2 linked regions of the Caenorhabditis elegans genome follow. The protein of the gene in region 1 purifies or fractionates together with the protein of each later gene. This does not show direct contact. Each region holds a gene or a part of one and is shown on either strand. Other genes may lie near its edges.

The links.
Region 2: the proteins of fbxc-23 (region 1) and cst-1 fractionate together in Caenorhabditis elegans (co-fractionation; one large-scale study listed by BioGRID). This does not show direct contact.

The regions. Positions count from the first base shown.
Region 1 is NC_003280.10:13,590,373-13,598,444, reverse strand, and holds fbxc-23 (FTH domain-containing protein), read left to right. Parts: upstream 1-1,889; 5' UTR 1,890-1,901; coding exon 1,902-1,954; intron 1,955-1,995; coding exon 1,996-2,290; intron 2,291-2,751; coding exon 2,752-2,934; intron 2,935-2,983; coding exon 2,984-3,249; intron 3,250-3,296; coding exon 3,297-3,384; 3' UTR 3,385-3,442; downstream 3,443-8,072. Other genes in the region: csc-1 (Chromosome segregation and cytokinesis defective protein 1), read right to left, coding at 571-868, 927-1,022, 1,081-1,369, 1,423-1,489; clec-146 (C-type lectin domain-containing protein), read left to right, coding at 4,712-4,765, 5,588-5,888, 7,529-7,743; clec-145 (C-type lectin domain-containing protein), read left to right, coding at 7,913-7,969.
Region 2 is NC_003284.9:4,335,888-4,346,562, reverse strand, and holds cst-1 (Serine/threonine-protein kinase cst-1 37kDa subunit), read right to left. Parts: upstream 6,932-10,675; 5' UTR 6,920-6,931; coding exon 6,870-6,919; intron 6,804-6,869; coding exon 6,723-6,803; intron 6,677-6,722; coding exon 6,496-6,676; intron 6,224-6,495; coding exon 6,068-6,223; intron 6,026-6,067; coding exon 5,648-6,025; intron 4,762-5,647; coding exon 4,669-4,761; intron 4,621-4,668; coding exon 4,530-4,620; intron 4,361-4,529; coding exon 4,280-4,360; intron 4,238-4,279; coding exon 4,070-4,237; intron 3,727-4,069; coding exon 3,662-3,726; intron 3,615-3,661; coding exon 3,526-3,614; intron 3,112-3,525; coding exon 3,051-3,111; 3' UTR 2,857-3,050; downstream 1-2,856. Other genes in the region: F14H12.3 (Thrombospondin type 1 domain protein), read right to left, coding at 985-1,242, 1,309-1,392, 1,441-1,570, 1,656-1,797, 2,025-2,147, 2,239-2,275; cst-2 (Serine/threonine-protein kinase cst-1), read left to right, coding at 10,529-10,578, 10,645-10,675. UniProt on the Caenorhabditis elegans protein: Serine/threonine-protein kinase which extends lifespan and delays tissue aging, probably by activating daf-16.

The sequences.
Region 1 (8,072 bases):
GGAAATACTCAATTCCGGCAATTTGCCGAATTACCGGAAATACTCAATTCCGGCAATTTGCCGATGTTCCGGAAACATTTAATACCGGCAATTTGCCGATGTTCCGGAAACATTTAATTCCGGCAAATTACAGATTTGCCGCAAATATTCAATTCCGGCAAATTACAGATTTGCCGCAAATATTCAATTCCGGCAAATTACAGATTTGCCGGAAATCTTCAATTCCGACAGTTTGGCGTCCACCGCTGATGTAAAACACAAAAAGAATTAGCGTAAGTTGAACAAAATCGCGGATTCTTGTCAAAAACTGTTTAAATAACTAGTTCACAGTTGTCCAAGAGTAGTACAAGAAGGCTGGAAGTTTTCTTTCCGATTTTCTCTGAAAAAAAACTAATTTTTTTTCGATTTTTTGCAGTCAAATTTTTTGCAGTCTATTTAGAGAATCAAACGATCGTTGAGATCAAAAAATTTGCATATAAAAGGTAAAAGACGGGAAAAATTGAAATATCAAGTATTTACAGATCATTATAAAAATTAAAGCGGGGGAAAAATTAAATCGGGGGATTTTTCCTATACAGACGTCCCGGCATTTTCAGTTTCCGGCTGGAGAGGCCCGGCTGCTGCCGCTGCCTTCTTGCTCGCCGCACCAGATTTCTTCGACTTCTTCCGATTCTCCTTGCCAGCAGCAGTAGCAGTAGTTCTTCCAGCCAAGACCAGTGGCGATCCGTTCACCGAGAAGGCGATTTCCTCGTCAACGTGTGGAGCACGGAATGGCTTTTCCGGTTGAAGTGTTGGCAGTGGGAGCACTTGTCCAGCTGGCGTTATGATCTCGTTGCGGCGGTGCTCGTCGGCCGCCGTGTTCCTGCCGCTGAAAAAAAATTAATTTATTTATTGAGAAATCGATTTTTTTTTTGTTGAAAACTTACGAGTTCTGGCCAGATGGAGCAATCGGAATGCTCGTCTCATGCGCCGCATCGTCGTCGATTTCAGGCTCCTGCTTGACCTGCACCGTGTTCCGGCCGCTGGAAAATTTATTGATAAAAGTAAATGGCGGAAATTTGGATTTTTTTGAAAACTTACGAGTTCTGGCCAATCGGAATGCTCGTCTTTTGCGCCGCCGCCGCGTCGTCGATTTCCATGTCAGGCTCGGAAGGAAGCTCCTGCTTAACCGCCACCGCCGCTTCTCCTTCCTCCTCCTCCTCGCCGGATTCAATGTAGAAATCATCCGGTGGCGATGCCAGAAACTCCATGATCGGCATATCCCTGTATTTTGGCTTGATTGTGGCGATGATCCGGTCGGATTCAGCCTTTGCTGTCTGAAGGGCGACCTCCCGCAGCTTCTTCTTATACTCCTCGAGTAAGTCCTTGACTGGAAAATAAATTATTTAAATATAATAAATTACTGGAGATCTTCAAGCTTACCACGCGTCTCGAGAGTATCCGCCATCGCAACCACAGCCGGGTCCTTCTTGATCTTGCGTGGTGGCATTCTGAAGAAAATAATGAGAAATAATCGGAGAAAATCGAATTTTTGAGGGAAATTAACGTGAAAATTAACTTTTTTAAGGTAAAAATCACAAAAGAAATCGAAAAATGCGTGGAAAATGAGAAAAATGGCGGAAAAAATTATAAAATTAATCGAAAAATTTTCGCGCTCGCATTCGGTGTTTGCGGACTGCGTACCGTACCCCACGCGCAAAAGAAGGAAACAGGTCTGGAATAAAGATTTATAAAGACAAACTTATGAAAACATGATTTGAAATATATTTTTTACCGTTTTTCCATTTGCATACACTTGATACCAACTAGAACAATTAATTTTCACTGAAGAAAATTTCGTAGCAAGAAATTTCGCAATTTTGCCTTTTTTGCTGCAATTATTGATAATATTTCAGCTTAAAATGTATTCTGAAAGCGTCCCATGCATATTCAAATATTTATCATTTGACAAGAAGTGGGTTTTATTTTAGAATCCATTTGAAAACACGATTACAGAAGCCATCTTGCAAATTTCAACTCGATATTTCGCAAGCTTGAAAAAAAGCTTCCCTATCACTTTAATTGTATAAAAATCGATACAACAAGGGAGGACTGGCACTTTTCGATTGATAAAAAATATAATTTCAATATTCAAACTGCTCAGCTTGGCGCCAACGTTTTATTCGGTGGAGTTCAACAATTCGGAATTTTAATTGCAAGTCCTGAAGATTCACAGACTGAAACCTTTCGGAAATTGGTGGATTTCTATTTAAATCGACCAGGAACAAGTATTCATACACTGCAAATTCTGGTAATTCTTACGCGATTATGTGTGCGCCTTTAAAGAGTACTGTAATTACAAATTTTTGTGTTATCTAGTTTTTTCTATAATTTGTTGGAAATTTGGGGTTTTTAATTATTTTCTTCTAGTTTTCACAGATTTCTGGCTTCCCTCATAAATTGAAATGGAAGAGTTTAGGCCGAACTAGTCCATTTTGGCTCGGCCATATCTGGGGTAGATTTAAGGTGCGTTGCGTGTCGCGTCGCGGCTCGGTTTTAGTTGTAAAACGAAATGTACGTGTCCGTGTGGAGTACACGACTTTCCCACGCGTTGTCCAGCGGGAGATTATCAATGGAGCGCGAAAAATTCAATGAGCAAGGCCAGGATCCCGCGTGAGCAACGAAAGTTTTCAATTACAGTGCTCTTTAAAGGCGCACACCTTTTATCAATTAACGAAATTTTGTCGTGACGAGACCGTCGTGCGTTTGCAGAATCATCCATATGGTCTCGAGGCGTGCTGCCAATTGAATATTCGACACATTTTTGTAAGAATGCGGATTGAATCCCTGAGATATGACTACACGACCTGGTTTGATTGCCTCCGAGCTCGCCCGTTCGAGACGGCGGAGGTGGATTTTGTTGGAATGGATTACTTGATTCTGGCGGAGCCTGTGGTAGAGTCTGAAATTTGAAAATTCACAGAAATTTGTTGTTTCCTTCCAGATATATTCAGCCAAGAAGCTGTGTATAAAATCATCACGTGCAATTCCGATTCGCGCGATTTCAAATCTCCAATCTCCTTGGATATTCTTAGATTATAATATGACCTCCCCGAAAGTTGTAAATCTCTGCGAAAACTGGATTCAGGACAAAAAACCGATGGGCACCACCTTGACACTTTTCGTGTTCCGTGAGAAGTTTGAGCTGGTTAATCAGGCGATTGATAATAGGTTTGAAGCAAGTTCAGTGCAAAGGAGTGTGGAAGATAGGTAAGAGGTAGTAGTTATTTGAATTTATTTGAAAAAGAAAGTTTCAGGGAACAAGTGATTGTCACCAGTAAAGATACCAATGTGAAAATCTTCAAGAACAGTCAAAAGCAGCTGATAATCCAAGTTGTTGAATAATCTGTATTATTAAGTTTTCAGCTGGAATTGTTAAGTAATAAACTAGTACTGCATCGAGGGTGTGTTAGGAATTTCATAGTGCACCAGCTAACTAGGGAACCGTCAGAAGGTTCCCATCGGACTTGCATATGAGACCTATGCGATTCGATAGTGCATGTATTAAAACGGCTACTCGTGAAATTTTGGCGGCAAAACTCCAGAACCAAGCTCACGGCGGGCTTTCAAAGATCCTGAAAATATCACTGTAAGGAAGAACTTTAATGATCTAACGAAGCAGTTTTCCATATTCACTTTGGTAGCTCATATCTCCGCGGATAAATTTTTTACAGAAAAATCATCAACTGATAAGTTGTTGATATTGTCCTAAAAAACAAGTTTGTAGTTGAAAGTTTTTTACCAAAAAATTTGTATTTGAGAGAAAAGCATTAGAAACGGAATAGCAGCATACAAATAACAACAGCAGTTGCCGCACTTCACGCGGTTTTATTTATCTCAAACAAAAATTTTTTGGTAAAAAACTTTCAACTACAAACTTGTTCTTTACAACAATATCAACAACTTATCAGTTGATGACTTTTCTGTAAAAAATTTTTCTACGGAGATATGAGCTACCAAAGTGAAATTGGAAAATTGGCCCTTCAATGCTTCGTTACAGTGATATTTTCAGGATCTTTGAGAGCCCGCCGTGAGCTTGGTTCTGGAGTTTTGCCGCTAAAATTTCACGAGTAACCGTTTTAATACATGCACTATCGAATCGCATAGGTCTCATATGCAAGTCCGATGGGCACCTTCTGACGGTTCCCTAGTAAGTACTAGGAGTGACATGGTGCATCGGTGATTCACTTCCAATTTCTGATTTGTTAAAGGTCTCCTGAATCACGAGGTACTTTTCCTCGTGACTAATTTTTCGAGAATTGTGTTTTTTGTTTGTTTTGGATTTTTTCCAATTTTCAGAGGTGATTCACGTGATTTTTTCACACCATAAGACAGAAAAAACACAAATCTTGATGTAAACGCGCTCCATTGAGAAACACCCGTTGACGCGAGCTCCCAAATTACGTCTGTAATTTCTTGGGATAAAAACTTATAAACTTCCGGTTATACTATGAAATCACCACATTTTCCCCTAGTCTCCAGAATCCGTGATGACCAGAAATTCGTCAAACTATCGGGAAAACAAGTGATAAAGTGAGAGATAAGAGGTAAATAAGAGAGTGCAGAGAAATCAGGGGGCGGCTGATTTGATACCACATTTTAACTGGTCTTTTCATTTCATTACCTCCTTCTATTGCCAAATTTAATTTTTTGTTCATTTTTTTCTCAAAACATGCGATCGATATTTTCTGTTCTTCTACTAGCGGCTGTGGTTCAGACGCAGTTTGTAAGTGGAGAAAATTATTTAAATTGTCCAGGAGGCGCAGACAAAGAGAGTGCTCTTTCTGTCTGATAGTTTTTGGCGCGCTTTCTTCAAACCTTTGTAACTTTGCGGAGAAGAAAGGTAGAAAAAAGTTGTCAACCAACAAAATATAGGAAATTTTACGTAGTATACTTTTTCATTAAAAAACTTTAAGAAATGTTTAGTTTCCGTAAAGTAACGGGCGTTTCGGAGAGAGTGGAAAAAAATTCCAAAAAAAAATGTGAAAAAGCCCAGGAGCTGACAACTGCGTCGACGACACGGCGTCCTTCGTGGATTCGGTCAAAAGTGACAAGGGTTCAGGAGTGGGCCGGGCTTCGGCGGCGGGGGTCCACAACTACAGTATCCCCTAGATTAGTTAGTAGAAATCTTGGATTGATTGATAGAGGTAGATCAAAATTCAAAGCCCCTGTGATACCAATAGTCATCCCAATACCTCATAGTCCAGGCTTTATTGGCCGTGTAAAGGCCAAACTAGGCTTTGCACCGCCTGATAGCACGACAAGCCCGATGCACCATGACACAGAGCCCACTACACTACCTCCTGAGCCCGCCGGCTTCTTCTCCCGACCCTTTACAAAGCTAAAATCCATGCTGAACATTGGCTCAGAGGACCCTGCCAAGCCGAATTTGGTTGTAAAATATGGAAAAAAGGCAGTGGAAAAGCTGGCGCCCAAAGTTTTGGAGAAAATAAAAAAGGTCTCAGAATTGCTTAAACTTTAAGCCTTAAAGTCCACTCAATTAGAGCAGAAATTTCCAGAGGTAATATTTGAAAGCGTCAATTTTCAGAACTTCCACGGCATGCGGAGTTTCTTCTCCACCGACGAGGAATTCCCAACTCAACTTCAAAACTTTGAAGGTCGCACCGAAACCGAAATTCGGACTTTGAAGGAAAAAGTGGCGAGATTGGAGAAATTAATCGACGGTTTGCAAAGTGTGCTAATGAAAGAGTGGAATACAACGGAGAGTGGGTCAAAGTACCGGCTATTTGAGGAGAGGAAAAGTTGGGATAATGCAGAGAGACACTGTCAAGGGTTTGGAGCTCATTTGGCTATAATCGACAATGAAGCGAAGAATGGATTTGTGACAAGTAGGTTTTAACGGAGACAGTTTGCGGGTTTCAGTCCTACTTAATTTTTCGTAAACTACAGTAATCCTACAGTACTCCTACAGTACTCCTACAGTACCTCTACAGTACCACTACAGTACCCGATCATATCCCCCACTGACCCTGAACCGATATCTCTTCAAAAGACAAAAACTCAATTTTTCCTAAAATACAGTAATTCTACAGTATCCTACAGTACCTCTACAATACCACTACAGTACCCCGACAATATCCCCCACTTATCATGAACCGATATCCCTTCAAAAGACAAAAACTCAATTTTTCCTAAACTACAGTAATCCTACAGTACTCCTACAGTACCTCTACAGTTCCACTACAGTACCCCGACCATATCCCCCCCCCCCCACTGACCCTGAACCGATATCCCTTCAAAAAACAAAAAGTCAATTTTTCTTAAACTACAGTAATCCTACAGTACTCCTACAGTACCTCTACAATACCACTACAGTACCCCGACAATATCCCCCACTTACCATGAACCGATATCCCTTCAAAAGACAAAAACTCAATTTTTCCTAAACTACAGTAATTCTACAGTTTCCTACAGTACACCGATATCCCTTCAAAAAACAAAAAGTCAATTTTTCCTAAACTACAGTAATCCTACAGTACTCCTACAGTACCTCTACAATACCACTACAGTACCCCGACAATATCCCCCATTTACCATGAACCGATATCCCTTCAAAAGACAAAACTCAATTTTTCCTAAACTACAGTAATTCTACAGTACTCCTACAGTACCTCTACAGTACTACTACAGTACCCCAACCATATCCCCCACTGACCCTGAACCGATATCTCTTCAAAAGACAAAAACTCAATTTTTCCTAAACTACAGTAATCCTACAGTACTCCTATAGTATCTATACATTACTACTACAGTACTCCGACCATATCCCCCACTGACCCTCAACCGATATCTCTTCAAAAGACAAAAACTAAATTTTTCCTAAACTACAGTAATCCTACAGTACTCCTATAGTATATATACATTACTACTACAGTACTCCGACCATATCCCCCCACTGACCCTCAACCGATACCCCTTCAAAAGTCAACAACTCAATTTTTCCTAAACTACAGTAATCCTACAGTACTCATACAGCACCTCTACAGTACCATTACAGTACCCCAGCCACATCCCCCACTGCCCTTCAACCGATATCTCTTCAAACGACGAAAACTCAATTTTCCTAAACTACAGTAATCCTACAGTACTCATGCAGCACCTCTACAGTACCATTACAGTACCCCAGCCACATCCCCCACTGCCCTTCAACCGATATCTCTTCAAACGACGAAAACTCAATTTTCCTAAAATACAGTAATTCTACAGTATCCTACAGTGCCTCTACAATACCACTACAGTACCCCGACAATATCCCCCACTAACCCTGAACCGATATCCCTTCATAAGCCAAGAACTCAATTTTTCTTAAACTACAGTAATCCTACAGTACTGCTAGAGCTTAGGCTTCAAGTCTCATGTTACCCATACTGAAAACGAAAAAACATCTCCAGCCAGGTTCACCAGTCAAAAGAAGCAAACTTTTACAATTCTGTTCTAGCCAGTTCCAATAATTTTCCCAAAATTTCAGACCTCATCAACTCCAGCGAAACCTCTGATTTTGCCTGGATCGGCATGAAAACCAAGACCACCACACAAACCTCCACCCCATTCACGAACTTTGATTCCGAGTCCCCTATTGATGGCTGCGCTGTGATGGATGCGAAGGGTGTCTGGTCGATTCGTTCCTGCATTCAACTTCGTCCATTTGTCTGTCAAATTATCAAGAATGATGTTAAAATCTGAAATAATTCTACGAGAAATTGTGAATTGAATTATGAAGTGTAAATAAATATATGTTATGACTAAGGGTAATTTGATACATCGATAACAAAATGATCGCCATTTGTTTATCGAGAAGACTATAAATCAAAAGTTCCCACCGAAAAACAGTTGAGAATTTTTTTCAGAAATAATGCACCCAAAGTGTGGAATTATTCTACTATCCCTAATTTTTATATGTATTACAGAGGTAAGGCTGATTATCAGGTAACACGCCAGCTAAGGGGTACTGGCGCATTCTTGGTGCTTGACGCCACGGGGTTCTGGCGTTCCTCATTGAATTTTTCGCGCTC
Region 2 (10,675 bases), on another chromosome or scaffold:
ATAATTTTATTTATTCAAAAAATTTTACCATAGATCAGAATCAGTTACGGGAAAGACTGAAACATTATTTACCACTTGCTTCCTCTAAAAGTGTCAAGACCTAAATATACATTTATTAAAAATAGTCTGAACAATTTTTAGAGCACGCTCTCGATATTTATCACTCTTTCGGAATTTATCATTATTTTTCCAATTAAAATTATATGAATCGCTTATGTTTTGCCAACAGTGCTAAACTTTTAAAAACGATTTCACAATGCAGGTGATGAAACCAAAACTATATGTACATTAGAAGAAATTCAACCAATTTTATTTGAAGTTATACAAATTTTGATTGAGAGCTCTAATTCATTTCCTCACTTTGTGGTGTGCTTGTAATTCCATACCCAACCTGTCTGGCAGCCTACTTCTTACACTTCCCAATTTTTTCGAGTTTATTTGAAGTTGTTATACAAAATTGTTCTGCTGAAATTTTTTTGGCCCGTTCTTTAACTATTCAAATAAGCCATGAGAATTTTGTATCAAATAAATCAAAATAAACGGACATTTTTTATTCAAGAGTCGACAAGCACAAAAACAGAAACACATTAAAAATGCAGACCATTCCACAGATTTGATCTTATCAAATGTACTAACTGTTGAGAGGCATGATTTCCAAACAAAATAATTAAGCTAACAAAAATGACAAAAAATAACCCTCAATAGGAGCAATGCGATTATTGACCAAAGTCCCCTGCTCGGACGGAGCACCATCAAGAACGTTGTACCTGACTCCCAGATCCGTAGTGACCTGCACTTAAGGCAGCATTCACTGAAGCGTCTGCTGATATTTAATTTGATAATTGAGATTGTTTAGTTTTTTTGTTTTTTTAGTGGTTCTGTGATTCTGCTGTAGTGGATAGAAATAATAATTGCTCAATACTTTATTTATATTGCTTCGGAATGTGCAAAATATTGCATAAATGTACACAAGTTTCAATACAGTTAAGCACTTGTCGAATTTCCAGATACTGTAATCATTCTCTTCTTTCTTCCATTTCCGTATGGATCATAGAAAGGTTGTGCATGCCCGCAGGTTGAGCACGCTGGTGGTTGGTAACAAGTTGTGCATGGAGCTGGAGTCACAATGACAACCGGTTGGGTATTACAAGTATTGCATGGTGGTGGTGGTTGATTGCATGTTGTGCACGGGCAAGCAGCTTGTTGAGGGCATGGCTCTTGTTCAACGGAGCCTCCAGTACACTGAAACAAACAGTTATAAATGTTATATTGAATAAAAACGTTTAGCTTTATAAATTTTAAACTTACTCCCGATCCACAGCTACATTGCCTAGATCTGGTGATTGATCCTCCAGATCCGCAGGTTACTGAGCACGCCGACCAGGAAGACCACTGAAACAAAAGTTATTAAGTGAGAAGTTGAACTCAATTTGTTCTCACAGCAGTCCAGGTGCAGCACGGTTGAGCATTGCAAGCTTGCGACTCGGCAGCAGCTCCGACACATTGGCAGGTTGAGCATCCGTTATTGCAAACACGACTTCTCGTCATCGTACCACCGCCGCAGGTGGCACTGCAAAAAGAAAAGTTAGGCTTATCAGTTTGGCAATAAAGAAAACAAAACAATAATAAACAGATTAAAGCAAAATATTGCTAACCTGCAACTACTCCAACCTCCCCAAGCTCCCCATTGTGGTTGAGTTGGTTGTGGATCATAAAGGACGCATGGTTTTGATTCTGTTGTAGAACCTCCTTGGCAGTTGCCGGATGGACAAAGTCTAGTGCGAGTTTGGACTGGCGCTGAAATTGAAATTATTATTATGAAGATGTACATATAGCGGAAATGTGACTCCAGGTGTTGGAAATTCTATTTCAAATCCAAGAATCTCTGTGCACTGTAGAATTTTACATTTCATAAAGATCACTGAAATTGTGGCGGGACCAGTAAAACTGAATGTTTCTTTAAATTGATGTGTCAGGTTTTCGCAAAACTGCTATAGCAAAAATTCAAAAAATAGAAGACCTACTTCCAAAAGCGGCAGAACAGGAAGACCATTCTGTCCATCCACTCCACTGAGGGCTATCACCACATACGTTGCATCCGCTTGGATTTGCTTGTACACCGCCTCCAATTACATATGAAAGTGTTCCTAAAAATATTTTATAACAATCAAAAAAAAACTGTTTCAGAAATTGGAAACATTTTTCAGAAAATACTATAATTCTGAAAGAATAGTTTACCTTGAAAAAGACACAAAGAAAGAATAAGTGCGAACATTGTTGATAAGCTGATAGCGGATGAACTTTTGTTCGATGGCAATCTTCGCTTCCTTCACTCCTTAAATATATTTCGGTTTCGCAAATATTACCTGACAGTTGAGAAACATTCGCCTCGAAGTGTATATTTGCCTCTTCTTGAAAAAAAAAAAGCAAACGCCCTCTCGGCTAGTAGTTGACGAAATATATCTGCTTCCCAACGGCAGCAGAGACCCAATATGACAATTATAACAGACTAAAGCTAAAAGGACGTCCGTCATAAGCCATAAATCTTACGATTCAAAACGGCAGTCGTAATGCAAAAAGCACTCAGAATGTGGTTTTTTGTTTCTACTAGGATGCCATGCAAAATTTACCTAAAAATATTAATTGGTCGCTACGTGAACTCCGCGGTAGGCAAACAAATAAGAAAAACTAGACTCATCGAGATCAACCATCTATCGCTCTGACTCATTGCAGCTTTTTCAATTGTAAGTGAAATTTTATCTATTTCCGTTATTCGAAAAATTATATCCGTCACTCCCATTGTTCCTTGTTAGTCACTGATAAAATATCCGCCTTCAGAACAAACCTTCCCAAAAAAATTAAAATTGACCAGATTTATTTTAGCATGAAAAAGCTAAGCAAAACACAACAAGTTCAGTTTGCTCTTGCTTCTGATCTAACAAAATTTAGAATAAATATGACATTTAAAATACAATCTAGTTAATTAATAGGTTTCATATATTTGCAGATTGACAAAAAAATTATTATTAAACAAGCATGTATCGAAGCCGTCATTGAAGTCGTTTTTTGATTTCTATAACATCCAGTATTGGTTGCCTTTTTGTTTTGTATCTGAAATTTTGTTCTTTTTTTAGTATTTGACTTTAATCGTGAATTGCCACTGTTGCGGATTTTAATATCAATTTTCTTGACTCCAAAATGTAAGAAAAAAAGAGAAAAGTTGGCTCATTTTGAAAACATTCGATGCCAAAAGCTTCAAATATCCTAAATTTGAGAATGGAATTTTAAGCATCAAAGAAAAAAATTCTGAGCAAAATTTCAGCATCACTATTTCTTAAAAATTATAAATAGCAGTAGTTCGCGATTCATAAAACTGTCCTTTAGATGTTTAAATCAGTAAACTCACAAAAAATCCAGCTAGAAAATTCGCTTAGGATTTTTTGTTAAAAATCTCAATTTCCGGCTTTTTGAGGTGTTTGAATTAAATTTCCTCAAATTCAACCAATTAAAAAAAAAAGATTTTACCTTCTCTGCAACTCTCGTATTTCTTCTTCCATCTCCGAATCCAAACTTTCTTTCCTTCGAATCAGTTCGTCTAGCGTGATGTTTCGTAACTAAATGCAGCTATTTCGTTATTAGAAAAATTACGAAATACACTTACAAATTCGAAATCTCCATCGACCACTGCCCGTTGAAATCTATTTTCGTATTCGGCTTCCGTGTTCACTGAAAGAGTAGGTGTTTTTTAACTGTGATTCAATTCAAGATTTCAAAATATGTCTTTCTAAGTTTCAAAACTTATGCAATACAAATTTTCCACAAAACATTAGTAGTGACATTTTTCATTTTTTAGAATTTACAGGCAAAATCTTAATCAGCTAACATTTCATGCATGGCTAGAATAAGGGGTATGACATTTCAATTTTAATAAAATTTTAGGTTTGTGAAAATGCCTGAATAATTTTTCATTTTTTTGTCAAAGTCATTCGAGCTGAATAACGTTTTTTATGCTAGCTTTTTTTTCTCATAGATCATCATTTTATAATTGGTTTTCTTTCAAATAACTAACTCATATTATAACTAGCATCTTTGTAACTGCTCTCGCTGGTGCCCAATTGAAAGTTTGGACCGGTTCCATCTTGAGCAAACGGTTGGTTTTTTGAAGGGTCTGAAGCGCTTGCGGTGTGACCCGGTGGTTGAACGCGCGGTGAGTTGCCATTTTTCGACGAGCCTGGAACTATATCGGTGAATGCAATTTAACGCTCATGAAAAAACGAACTATATGCCGATTTAGGAATTTCTCCACCAATTCTCAAGCTTTCCATTTGACTTCGAAGACTTTGAGCAGTGACATAGTTGTCTGAAATTGTGAGTTCTATTTCACTAGGTAATTTTGTAATTTCTCCCTGTGTCCTGCTTCACGTTACTACTAAATATCGAGCTACAAAGTAGTGCAAATTAGGTGCGTGAGTTTTGCACTTTCCCACGACACATATGATCAAATTACATATTCAAAACTATCATAATACCTTTGTGTTGAACTAACGTAGACTCTCCACCGTCAATCATAGTGGACATTCCCTCGCTTAGCAACGTTGCATCATTTCCGCTGCTTGCTGCCTGAAAAAACAATCAAATTTTCGTTTTCTAATGAAATTTTTTGTCAACCATTGGTGCTTGTCCTAGTATAGCTTTTTCTTGAGCATCCTGGATCATCAACTGCATAATATCGCAACCTGGTGCATTTTTGATGAATGTGTGCTGAAAAATATCTATGAAGTGAGCAATGTTCACAAACTGTGTATCATTTGTTTTTCAGCAGTATTAGTAATACTATGACAGAAAACAACAAAAAAGTGTATAAAAATAGTAGAAAATTCTATGTAAAAAGTTAAAAAATTACTCCGAAGGGGTTGTCAAATTATAAGAAATCTTCTATTTTCGGTTGAGAGTAGTTGTAGGAAATATGAAAATTTGGCCCCGTCTATATCTTGGCAGTTTTTAAATGAGTTGCCACGTAGTGGCAGCAAGTGGGAAAGAACGCTCCTCGGCATTTAAAGGCAACTTCCTGCCAACTTTTGGCAACTTTCTGCCAAACTTTTGCACATTCCTGCCAACATTTAGATGTTTTTTCCCACTTACTGCCACTACGTGGCAACTTCCTGCCAACAACTCGGCAACTTCCTGCCAGCAATTTGGCAACTTATTTTAGTGGCACTAAATAAGTTGTCAAAGTGTGGCAGGAAGTTGCCTCTGAATACCGAGTAGAGAATTATGTTGAGTTCTAGCGTTTTTTGGATTGTTTGTTTTTATAGATTTCAAGCTTTTATCGACATCATTTTGTAGTCAAACGTGAAAGTTTATCGCTTTTCTCGCATTTTTTGCTGACATGGACATATTTTCAGCCGATTAGAACACAAGTTTAGCTGACTACCGACTAGAAACTTTAAAAAATAGAAAAAAGAAATACTACATGATTGAAAATTAATTTCTAGTCCCTGCGACAAAAAAAAGTTGTCGAAATTTTGAATTTTAGGTGGATGTACCTTTTTTCACAGTTTTAACAAATATAACGAATATTTGAGAATTTCAATATTTTTTGGATAAATCTTATTGGGAAATTTCTTTTTTTTTAAGCCATACGTACCTCACACAATCGGAGTGCCGTTTTTCTTTCTTCTGGCTTTTTAATTAAACAGCTTCTTATGAAATCATTGAACTCGGACGACCATTCTTCAGGTTTTTTAAACGTAGGTGGTGGTTTAGTTGGAATCATGAAGATTGCTCGCATCGGATGAATATCTGAATAAGGAGGCCGTCCCTCTGCCATTTCGATAGCTGTTATTCCCAGTGACCATATATCAGCTTTTGTGTCATATCCGATTTCTTCGATAACTTCAGGGGCCATCCAGAATGGCGTTCCAATGACTGTATTTCTTTTTGCCATTGTATCAGTCAACTGTCCAGCGACACCGAAATCCGCAAGCTTTGCAATTCCATCGGTATTGAGTAGAATGTTTCCAGCCTGAAAATACAGTTTTTTTTTCAAAAAAAAACAGTTTCTAACCTTTATATCTCTATGAATCTTCTTCAAGTCATGCAAATATTGCAATCCCTTGAGAGTATCGCGCAAAACTGCACTGATTTCTTGTTCGGATAACGGTTTCCGCCTGGCACGCATTATATCGGAGATCGACCCAGCTCCACAGTATTCCATCACAATCTTTAAATTAGTTTTTTTGTTAGTCCAGTTTTCTTCTTGATTTTCGACTAGGGGTAGGGAATAAAATCTTTGAATTTCAATTGGCATGCATTTGAATGAATACTTTTGAATGTTATTTCCACTTTAAGCTACATTTTTTTCTGTGGAAAAATCAGAACTTTACTGTTTTTAACTCTAATTCACAAAACGAATATAATTTTTGTTCAATTTCTTTTATTTAGTCCCACTTGGGCACAGCATTAAAATCTTAAAATTTATCTAAACAATCTCACCCATAGATCCGAATGTTTGAAATACGATCCATAGTATTTGACAACATATTTACTTTTACATTGTTGCATTATACTGATTTCCTTGATAATTTCTTGAAGATCAGTATCCACTGGCACTTTTTTGATGGCTAACACATGACCTGACTCTCTGTGAATTGCCTTATGTACGCTTCCATATGATCTGAAAATTTGGAATTTTTCAATCCGATAGAATTGAAATAACAAACCCTTCGCCCAGCTTTCCAACAATGTCGAAAACTTCTTCTGGTGGTTTGTTAAGCGCCGACGAATCCAATTTAAATCCATCGCTAAAACAAAAGAGAATGTTTATTTTGGAAGAGTAACTCTTTTTTTTTGTTTTGTGTCTGACAAACCTTGAGCCCTCTTCCGAATTCCGCCGCGAGCTGTCTGTAGACGGTGGCATCGGGAGGACGCTGAAATTAATGAAATTAACTTTGCTGAAATTTAAAAGTGGAGTAACGTCAGTGCTGAAATTGCTCAAAAACATGCATGCGGCACCACAATAATCAAATATTTTAGCAAAAAGTTTCTGAAAGATGTTCTAAATTTTATCTGATTTTTTTTTGAAAATTGAAAATAAACTCAGTTTTTGCCAATTGTTGGACTTTTTGAAAGTCGTCCTTTCAAAAACTGTTCAGCATTTTTATTTGTTTAATATTTAGTCATTTTGACACCATAAGAGTAGTTTTAAACAATTTTCCAACTTGCGCTACTCCACCTTTAACTGTGTACAAGTTGAAGGATTTATAAAAAAGTGTTGTAAGATCTTGTGTGAGTATAGGAATGAACACCCAATGAGATATAAGTAAGATGAAGAGCAGATGTTGTCCGTCCGACCGACGAGAACTATGGGGCAAGAAAATCGAAGAAAGAAGAAGAAAGAAGAAGAAGAAGATAAAACCTATCCTTGAGGACACATTAGTCGCATGTTTCTCTGCGTTCTCTTGGTTGCACATGCACTCTGCTTGTTCAATTAGAACGTCAACAGTGCATGTATGGTCATATTCTGAAGGGAGGCGAGAAGAGTGAGAAGAGAAAGACAGGCGAATCGATTTGGACGTCGTTTTGAAAGCGAAAAGACGTCTGCGGGGTTCCACCCATGTGGCCCCGATGGCCCGAAGAATGAATAATTGACTACGGCAATTGTCTTTTGGAAAAAAAAGTAATCCGACAAAGTCCAACGTTTTTAGATTAAGATTTCATTGGTAAAATGGTTGAAAAAGCCGAGAAAAACTAATTAATAAATTTTATAATTTATGAAATCTTTGAGATAGACCTGAGCATATTTTAAAACAATACAAATTTAGAAGAACCTTATTTTTCATGAAAGAGATTGAAGTATCATGATTTTCAATTCTATTTCGCAATGTTAGCATTTCATTTAAGATTGAAATATCCTTTTTGAAAGTGTGAGAATTAAATATTCCCATTGAAACTATCAAACTATCAAAGACCAGAGAACAACTCAAAAACAGTACTCTATTTCAGATAAGTTGTACCGTGATAAAAAAAAAGAAGTTAATATAACCGACCGCAGGCGCTACATTCGACGAGCATTCGTAATGCCCTCGGCTCACTCTACGTTATTTGAGCAGTGTGTGGTCGAGGCGAAAGGGGGAAAAGGACGGGAAAGAGTGCGAAGTGTGTACTGCGCTCGTTTCATAAGACTTGACCCTTCACACGTCAGGATGTTTGAATGCGGAATATCGTATTGCTAACTGTGTCCTTCCTGGTGCTGTTTTGCGGTACTGTTTTATTATGAGAGTTGTTGGGTAGTCATCACCTGATTCACGTATGTTTACTATCTTTACTTGTCAGTAGACTTTATTTGTTATGGTGCATAGTAGTTGATTGCTTTTTGTCAGTTTGGACAATTATTCTAGTTGATTTTATAAAGCATGTTTCATCCATTTTTTCAAGCAAAGAGATGTCATAAATTCAAAAACAATTTCCAAGTTATTCTTTAATTTCAATCTATTTAACTTTAAAGAACTGTTAATTGATTTTTCAAAAATATATACACCCATAATATGAAAAAGTATTTTCAACTATCAATAAACACCGAGAAAAGCGGAATATCAAAATTTTTTGGCAATTTGACAATCGATAATTTTGAACAAATAAAATTCAAAAACAAACAAACAAACAATAGTTCATTGTAATAAATATTTTTGGGAAGACATACAACGTTTCCCTACTAAATGTCTGCTATTCCAGATTGCCGAGTTTGAAAATATTCGGTATTTTCGGGAATCGCCGAATCTTGAATTCATCAGCAATTCAATATTTTCCGCATTTTAACAATTGCCTCCCACCCCTAATTCATAAAAATTTTGATATTCCGCTTTTCTCGGTGTTTATTGATAGTTGAAAATACTTTTTCATATTATGGGTGTATATATTTTTGAAAAATCAATTAACAGTTCTTTAAAGTTAAATAGATTGAAATTAAAGAATAACTTGGAAATTGTTTTTGAATTTATGACATCTCTTTGCTTGAAAAAATGGATGAAACATGCTTTATAAAATCAACTAGAATAATTGTCCAAACTGACAAAAAGCAATCAACTACTATGCACCATAACAAATAAAGTCTACTGACAAGTAAAGATAGTAAACATACGTGAATCAGGTGATGACTACCCAACAACTCTCATAATAAAACAGTACCGCAAAACAGCACCAGGAAGGACACAGTTAGCAATACGATATTCCGCATTCAAACATCCTGACGTGTGAAGGGTCAAGTCTTATGAAACGAGCGCAGTACACACTTCGCACTCTTTCCCGTCCTTTTCCCCCTTTCGCCTCGACCACACACTGCTCAAATAACGTAGAGTGAGCCGAGGGCATTACGAATGCTCGTCGAATGTAGCGCCTGCGGTCGGTTATATTAACTTCTTTTTTTTTATCACGGTACAACTTATCTGAAATAGAGTACTGTTTTTGAGTTGTTCTCTGGTCTTTGATAGTTTGATAGTTTCAATGGGAATATTTAATTCTCACACTTTCAAAAAGGATATTTCAATCTTAAATGAAATGCTAACATTGCGAAATAGAATTGAAAATCATGATACTTCAATCTCTTTCATGAAAAATAAGGTTCTTCTAAATTTGTATTGTTTTAAAATATGCTCAGGTCTATCTCAAAGATTTCATAAATTATAAAATTTATTAATTAGTTTTTCTCGGCTTTTTCAACCATTTTACCAATGAAATCTTAATCTAAAAACGTTGGACTTTGTCGGATTACTTTTTTTTCCAAAAGACAATTGCCGTAGTCAATTATTCATTCTTCGGGCCATCGGGGCCACATGGGTGGAACCCCGCAGACGTCTTTTCGCTTTCAAAACGACGTCCAAATCGATTCGCCTGTCTTTCTCTTCTCACTCTTCTCGCCTCCCTTCAGAATATGACCATACATGCACTGTTGACGTTCTAATTGAACAAGCAGAGTGCATGTGCAACCAAGAGAACGCAGAGAAACATGCGACTAATGTGTCCTCAAGGATAGGTTTTATCTTCTTCTTCTTCTTTCTTCTTCTTTCTTCGATTTTCTTGCCCCATAGTTCTCGTCGGTCGGACGGACAACATCTGCTCTTCATCTTACTTATATCTCATTGGGTGTTCATTCCTATACTCACACAAGATCTTACAACACTTTTTTATAAATCCTTCAACTTGTACACAGTTAAAGGTGGAGTAGCGCAAGTTGGAAAATTGTTTAAAACTACTCTTATGGTGTCAAAATGACTAAATATTAAACAAATAAAAATGCTGAACAGTTTTTGAAAGGACGACTTTCAAAAAGTCCAACAATTGGCAAAAACTGAGTTTATTTTCAATTTTCAAAAAAAAATCAGATAAAATTTAGAACATCTTTCAGAAACTTTTTGCTAAAATATTTGATTATTGTGGTGCCGCATGCATGTTTTTGAGCAATTTCAGCACTGACGTTACTCCACTTTTAAATTTCAGCAAAGTTAATTTCATTAATTTCAGCGTCCTCCCGATGCCACCGTCTACAGACAGCTCGCGGCGGAATTCGGAAGAGGGCTCAAGGTTTGTCAGACACAAAACAAAAAAAAAGAGTTACTCTTCCAAAATAAACATTCTCTTTTGTTTTAGCGATGGATTTAAATTGGATTCGTCGGCGCTT